2 linked regions of the Nothobranchius furzeri genome follow. The protein of the gene in region 1 interacts with the protein of each later gene in a pairwise test. Links are inferred from orthologs where the notes say so. Each region holds a gene or a part of one and is shown in the gene's direction. Other genes may lie near its edges.

Evidence for each region.
Region 2: the proteins of usp47 (region 1) and ap4m1 interact in binary tests that used the Homo sapiens proteins (3 or more experiments, as listed by UniProt). The two-hybrid records come from large-scale screens. The link is inferred for Nothobranchius furzeri from reciprocal best matches to the Homo sapiens genes USP47 and AP4M1.

Annotation. Positions count from the first base shown.
Region 1 is NC_091749.1:58,085,483-58,089,737, reverse strand, and holds the start of usp47 (ubiquitin carboxyl-terminal hydrolase 47), read left to right. Parts: upstream 1-1,180; 5' UTR 1,181-1,369; coding exon 1,370-1,414; intron 1,415-3,531; exon of another isoform or gene 3,532-3,763; coding exon of another isoform or gene 3,764-3,787; intron 3,788-4,255. UniProt on the Homo sapiens protein: Ubiquitin-specific protease that specifically deubiquitinates monoubiquitinated DNA polymerase beta (POLB), stabilizing POLB thereby playing a role in base-excision repair (BER). Acts as a regulator of cell growth and genome integrity.
Region 2 is NC_091750.1:26,818,561-26,822,387, forward strand, and holds the end of ap4m1 (AP-4 complex subunit mu-1), read left to right. Parts: coding exon of another isoform or gene 1-144; exon of another isoform or gene 145-254; intron 255-3,077; coding exon 3,078-3,195; intron 3,196-3,269; coding exon 3,270-3,461; 3' UTR 3,462-3,704; downstream 3,705-3,827. UniProt on the Homo sapiens protein: Component of the adaptor protein complex 4 (AP-4). Adaptor protein complexes are vesicle coat components involved both in vesicle formation and cargo selection. They control the vesicular transport of proteins in different trafficking pathways.

The DNA of each region.
Region 1 (4,255 bases):
AAATGATGACTGTGACAACCTTCCACATTTTGGTCATTTCCATTCACACAATAACAGTGGAAGAATCTTTGTGGGGGAAAAAATCTGCATTCCTTCCAGCTTCAATTAAAAAATTTACTGTTTGGATGTATTATTATTATTATTAAATGTTTCAAAAAGATGGCTTTGTTCGGGTTCACACCTTCACTTTGTTTATACTCATGATTTTATTTTCTACGTTTATCACTGCTATTGTTTTTCTGATGTTTTTATTGGTTAGAGGTATTTGCCCTGATCTTTATCATGTTGTACAGCGCTTTGTGATTTATATCTGTGAAAGGCGCTATATAAATAAACTTTTACTTACTTACTTACTTACTATTATGTATGAAAGGAAACACAAATCTGCTTTTTTGTAATGAATTTATTTTTGCTTTTGGCTAAGTTTTACGTACACAAATGCAAAGTTATGGAAACCCAGCCTCTGTTCTGTATTTTCAAAAGTAAGTTAAGCTTTATTTGCACACGTTATGTACCTCACACAATCTTAACGCTGGTAAAACAATGAAAATATGCTCTGACTCTAATATGCTGATGACTTTGCTCTGAGCTTGACAGCTTTAAATATGTGTATCTGTGTTTATCTTTGAGTATCCCAGCTCAGGTATTAATTATTACATTCTGTACTTTGACAAACCCCTGGCACTTTTTAAATAAACTTTGTCTATGTATTATGTTCCTATTAGTTTTTTGTGTTTGTTATGTTGGAAGTTGAAAATAAAGTTTATTTAAAAACATGATAGAAGCACGTTATGGAGTTGGTTAAAATAGTGATGAAGGGTCTTGTTGAGGAAACATGAATGGGTGCATTAAGTATAAAGACATGTATTGTTAAAAGTGGTGGGAACAGAAACATCCCAATATGCAGATTATTCTTTAAAATACAACAGCAGCTGTTCAGGTTTTACAATCTAACTTTTATAAATTATTTTGCACATTAAATAACTCACTTAATTTCTAACAAACTGTAATACACTTCCGTCTAGATAGAAGGTACCTGAAAGTAAATGGATCATAATCGTTTGATTATATGATATATTGGCCTGCCGTTATTGATAGAATGTGACGCCAAATCTCCTCGAGTGAAGTCTCGCGGAATAAAAACACCGGCCATTTTTCTCTATTTGTAGCAGCCAGGACAGCTTGAGTAGAGTATCGGAGAGTGTTACGATCACTTTGATAAGCGTACAACTTTTGGCAAGTGCATTTTTGGTGTCCATCCATCCAGACTTCCTACAAACTGAACACGAACCATGTTTGTGTTTACTGCTGCAAAGTTTTTTCGATGACATCCTTGTCTGGGTAGATGCTTGTCTAAACTGTCGTACAAATGGAAATGGTGCCTAGCGATGAGAACCAGTTCGTACCCAAAGAGGTGAGGTTACAACATGACCCTGTTCCGACCCCAGAGTTAGCCTCCTATCACCTTTTCGGATTATGCACATTAATTAAAGGAAAACTTTGTCACCACTTTATTTTAATGTGTCGTATCGTGGCTAACTCCAAGCTAACATACTTGAACGGCCTATCCTGACATGGCTAACCGCTAACAGTTAGCGGCTAGTTTCTTTCATCTAAAGCTTAGTGGATTTTTAAAAGCAGTTTGATATAAACAACAGCGAATGTTCTGCCATTTATCCATCACATTTAGCGTCTGATACTCCCAAACTTTAAACCTTCCTAAACGTTTGTGTTGACATTGCGTTCAAACATAGACGACATCTCAAATTTGTCAACATTTGTTAGCTAACTTGCATAACATTAGCTTGTGGGATTTGGCTATTTGACGTTGTTAGCTTTTTTAAAGCTGGTCTGATGCGACGACTCTGACATTAGATCCAGTAGTGTTTTAAAATTGACAAACCAAGCGCAAATATCTACAAAATTTATTTTGAATGACACACAGTAAAACTTGGCTTAAATCAAACGTTTATGAACGTATTTTAGTGAGCAGTTGACTCTTGACTTCCTAAGGTTCATGTGTGGTTAACGTAGAGTTTGTGCTGGTAAAATGGAAGTAGTCGAATGTGCGCCCTTTCTTCTTTAATATTCTCGGTAAACTTGCGTTTGGTGAAGATGAGGTAACATTTACTTTACTGTTTGGCGTAGTGACGAGATAAAAACACAATTTTATCTTAACAAAACGCACGCTGCTTTGTGATCGACCCTACTTTGTTGTAATCTTTCACAAAGGAGGAACTGTTTCTAGTATTTGGATGTGTTGTTGAAAGTCTGGAGGCCAACATGAATCTATTAAAGGGCTCTACTCGCATATTTGCATTCCGTTTATAGGATTCTTGAAACATCTGTCACTGTTTATTTATGTGGTTTTATTTCCTTTTCAACTTCATAAGCATAGACTCACATTTATTAGAAACACCAAGTTTTACAAAGAGCTAATTGATACACAATTATTTTTTATAAATATTCGTGCTTAACTTGCCCCTATTTGCCCACATTCATGTTAGATTAATAACGGTTTACACAAGAAGGATGACTTGTGTTTGTGTGAAGTATACTTTTAACTTTTTATACAACAACTTGGGCATATAAGGGAAATAACAAAAAAATTGTAAACAAACCGTCTTACCTGCCATATATGATCTTAGTTACCGTTGGTGGTTACTGTATCATTTTTCCACCTTGTTCCACTGAAGCATGCTTGCTTTAATCCATTTTTGGATTTAAGGAGGTTCGTGTTACCTCTGTAAGGTTAGGCAGCTTCAAATGCTCCAAATAGAGATTTAAATGACACACAGCTGTATGGAATTTTGTTACAGGACAATCTGATGATAGATTACTTTTACAGGGACAACATGGGACAATGTTGCTGTTGAGATCTTTTAAAAACTGACACTTGAGCAGGTGTTGTATATTGTCCTGACTTGAATACTTGACTGAGTGATACAGTTTGAATTTTTGCTCTAAAACAAAGTATATAGTTAATAAAGTTGGGTTTTTATTGTTATAACAGCTTTTTAGGTTTGTCGGGGTGTTTTAACGGCAGAAAATGGTTTAATTTAGAGACCAAGAAGACTTTTGGATTATACCCTCAACTCAAATAAATTATTTAAAGCATGTTCAGCTTTGATTACACATTTTCTGAGGTATAGTTTTAGCAAGTGATGTCACTGAATCAGTTTTTTCTTTATTATTCTTGTTCTCACTGTTTCTCCATCACATGATGTAGGGCATTGACCCTGATGACAAATCCACTTGAAAAAAAAACCTTGTTTCTCTGTTTCAGCTTGCTGAATTCTTGCATTGTCACCTTGTAATATGCCCGTGCATAAGAGAAGGGAAAACAAACCTTTAATGATGGAAAACTGAAATAACCGATACTACAGTGCATCTACGTTTTTAGATGTGCAAATACTGATTTGTATTTTACGTACACGACTTTGGTTTCATGTCAGCACCTTGTGATTATATCCAAGGTAAAAATAACATTTAATCTCATAATACACTCGTGTGTTGTCAGCTGCAGCTTCTTTTTGCGACCGGCCAGTCACTTTTTGCCAAGATTACAAGCTTCTCAAAGAAGCGCCGAAAACAGAAATGGCAGAAGTAATAAATTAATTCAATACTAATTCAATACTATGTTATAAGTTCCCCGTGATTCAGTATTCTTTATCCCCGATTTGATTTTTATGAGGATTGTGAAGCTTTTTTAAAAAGTGTTTTAAACTACCCTTCATTCCACCTGTCCACGTGTGATTAGGACATGTTTTGGAGGAGCAGACAGAAGGTTTGTGATGAAATTAAGAGGATTTCTCAGGTGTGTGTGTGTGTGTGTAATGTGTCCTAAAGCATGGTGTTTAACATACGCATGAAGAGCACTAGAGACAAATTGTAAAGTGTGAATTTTGTGATTAAAATTAGTTTACAATACTTGATTTTCAGTGCTGGAAGCTGGTCCATAAGTAAAATTCAAATTCTGCACCTTACCCTAATAAACGACGGCTCAGAAAATGGTCCTAAACTTCAGTGGTTGGTCCAAAGCTTACCAAGTAGCTGCTTTTCAGTATCTGCATGCCTATCTGCTACGGTGCAAATCGCAAACCAGTCGAAAAATGTGGAATGTTTTGCTAACTGTAGTAACAAGTAACTTCTTCTTCTAACAGCTGTTCCACTGGAAAAGCAAAGGTCTTTGTGTTTAACTGGAGAGCCTAACATGACTCAGCAAATTCATACAGACATTAAGATTGTGAATAAT
Region 2 (3,827 bases), on another chromosome or scaffold:
AGCAGACTCTTGTTCATCATTGATTGTTTGTTTTTGTGGAACCCCCTTCCCCTTCCTTTTGTCTCTTCCTTTCTCTTTCACCTCTGTCTCCGTGTCTGGTCGGAATTACAAAGCATTCAAAAAACAAAAACAATAAAGTTTTAAGTATATGATTAAAAGCAGAAGCTTTGATGCTCCACCTGAGAGTAAATCTGTAAGGCTTGTCACCAGCATTCAGACATTTTCTGTTTGCTTCACAGCCAGACAGGACACGGTAAATTACAAAAAAAAAAATTTAAATAAAAATTTTTTTAAAAATATTGTAAAAAAGCAACTTTTGGTTTTTGATACATTAAGGTAAAATAATACTTGAACTTTATTTTAGAAGAGCTGCCCTGTGTGAAAGTGCTGACAGGGTTGTGAGTTCAAATTCCAGTTTAGTCAGTTGTTTTATTTATTCCAGGGGTCCTCAACTACATTTGTTCAAGGTTTTTTTTCCAGCAGACACCAGTGAAGGTCAGATGCTCTTCTAAAATAAAGTTCAAACATCATTGTATCTTAATTTATTACAATTTAAAATGGCCTTGTTTCCCATCTGGGCTGTTTTAATTGTGGCTTTAGTTGTGTGTGGCGAATGAGGACCGTTGTAGATGTTTGGGACATGAAACTGTAGAGGCCCCAGAGGTGTTAGGGTTAAACAGGTTAAGGTTGGACTGACCTGCAGCAGCTCTCAGATCAGTGTTACATCACCTGGAACATCTCTGAAATGCTGACCAATAGGTCAAAGCATATAACCCTGTTACCTCCTAGGTAGGACGAAACTTTGTAACTAAATTAAATAATCATAAAAACGGTTGTATTATCAAAAAAGACTAACTGATGCAAAATCGGATAGTGCAAGATTATGGGGTACATTGAATGAAATGATGGGTAGGCATAATAGGTCAGCTCCAACTTTTTTGGATGTAGGGAGAACTTATCTCACTAAACCAACAGAAATTGCTAATTATTTAAACCAGTTTTTAACTAATAAAATTAAGTTGTTGCGAGATTCTATGGAAAATAGTCAAACCAAAAATATTTCCTACCAACTAATTAAACAAAAAATAATGTTAAATAAAAACTGCCAATTTCAATTTGATAAAGTGACTGAAGACAAGGTTAAGGAGATAATATTAAAAAGTAAAAATAAACCATCTGGCATAGATGATATTGATATTAAATGGTTAAAGTTAGTAGATTTTATTTCATGTCCTATTGTTCATATAATGAATGGAAGTTTTAAACAAGGTATTTTCCCATCTCAATGGAAAACAACAAAAATAATACCTTTAATTAAGAACAATAGAGAACCACTGTCTGGTCAAAACAGTCGACCAATAAGTTTGCTACCAGCGTTAAGTAAAATCATGGAAAAAATTGCATATGACCAAATTCAAGATAATTTTGAGGTAAATGAATTGAACACAAAATATCAACATGCTTACAAAACAAATCACTCAACCACTACTGCACTTATTCAAACAACTGATTATTGCTTAGAGAATATCGATAATAATAAGCTAATTGGTTCTATATTTCTTGATTTAATTGCGGCTTTTGATGTTTTAGATCATGAAATTTTACTACAAAAACTTAAACACTATGGATTTCATACATCTGCTCTTAACTGGACTAAAAGTTATCTTACTGACAGAGAATATCAATTTTATTTCAATGGCAGTTTTTCTGAAAAGGGTCTGATGGAATGTGGTGTTCCACAGGGAAGTTGTTTGGGACCTCTTTTGTTTTCTTTTTTTTTATGATTTTCCGTGGGTGCTGCAACATGCGACTACAGCAGTATATGCAGATGATATTACTGTTTTAGCTTCAGCACATACGGAGAGTGCACTGAATGAAATATTAAATAAAGAGTTGAGAACAGTCGAGCAGTGGATAACTGCTAACAAACTAGTGATTATTGCAGGAAAAACTAAATGCATGGTAGTTGGCTCCAAACATACTTTACAGACGATGCCAAAGTTACATTTAACTCTGAGTAACAATGTAATGGAACAACTAGAAGAAGTAAAATTACTGGGAGTAATAGTTGATTGTAAGTTATCATGGACAAGCCAGATTAATTATGTTTTACGCAAAATGGGGAGAGGTATGGGCATAATTAAATTTTGTTGCAAATTTATACCACAATATTTACTTAAATGCCTTGTTCAATCATTAGTGCTTTCTTGTGTAGATCAAGCATCTATTATTTGGTCCAGTACAAGTGAAAATAATTTGCATAAGCTACAAGTAGCACAAAATAAAGCTGCTCGTATTGTTTTAGGCTGCCCTTACAGAACGAATGTGGGAACCATGCATGAAAAACTTGCTTGGCTTGATGTGAAGAGTAGATTGAAGTATTTCTTGGTAACAACTGTGAGGAAAATAATAATTACAAAAACACCAAAAATTATACATAGCAAATTATTGTTTTTTTTTCAGATAATCATACTTATAATACACGACAGATAAATGAGATGAAAGGTGTTTTACCACGCAGTAGAACTAATCAAATTCAAGGATCTTTTCACTATAAAGCTATGATTGCATGGAATGCATTACCTAGATTTTTAATTTTTGAAAGTAATAACATTTATTTTCAGTAGAAACTGAAATTTTTTTTTGTTTACACACTTAATTGTACAGTGACTATGAACTCTGCAACGAAGGATTGAGAATCTGGGTTTGAGGTCGAATACTGGATATCGATGAGCTATGATACGAAACAATGGACATGATGTCACCATTCTGTTATATTTTATTTTCAATCTTTATTGGTGTGATTAACTCCTTTCCCGATATTAATTTATATATGTCATTTTGTTCTAGATATGTGATTTCATCTTGAGCTACTGGTATTATGTGAATTAGGGATGTGTGTGTGTGTGTGTGTGTGTTTGTAGGGTATTATCTTATGTAAACAATTGTATGAAAATGTATGAGACCCCAGGAAGACTAGCATCTGCACTTAGGCAGAAGCTAATGAGGATCTCAATAAAACGAAACGAAACCTGGGTGTGGGGGTGTCAACTGTAAACCGTGTGTCGTTGGTTCAGTTTGTCTCAGGAGCTCAGTAGTCCAGACCAGAGAGCCGAGCTGAAGCTGCAGAGCAGAGCCGTGGTCTGGGAGGTCCCCCGCTTCCCTGGAGGGACTCAGCTATCAGCTCTGTTCAAGGTGGTTCCAAAAGTCACACACACACACACACCTAGGTGTCCTGGTGCTAACAGAACCATTGTCTCCCTCCTCAGCTGGAGGTTCCAGGTCTGAGTTCGGCTTCCATGTTGGAAGTGGGTCCAGTCGGTCTGAGCTTTGAGCTTCCGAAGTTCACCGCCACTGGGCTTCAGATCCGCTTCCTGCGACTGTCTCCAGTCCAGCCTGGCCCACTGCAGCGCTGGGTCCGCTACGTCACCTGTTCGGATTCCTACACCATCCGGATGTGAAGGTGTCTCCGCAGGACGCAGTGACAGACGGAGCGGTCCCAGATATGCTGGACTTGTTTAATGACTCTTGTTTCTCCTGTGAATAAACGTGAGTTGTAATGCTGCCGACGGCCGTGTTCCTGTGGGGTTCATGCTGAGTAAGCCCCGTTGGTTCTGCTCACTGATCTGTTCCACTTCTCTTTAGGCTGGAAATGATTCACTGTGATCTTGTTTGTGAGCAGATTAAAGTTCATCCTCGCTCAACAGTGTCTGTTTTCCTCTGAGGAACAGCAGGAAGGAGGTTCTGCTGCTGACCAAGGGAACTGGATCAGCCCTGAACTTCCTGTAGTAAAACTTTAAATTCCAAGGTCAAAGTTCACACTGATG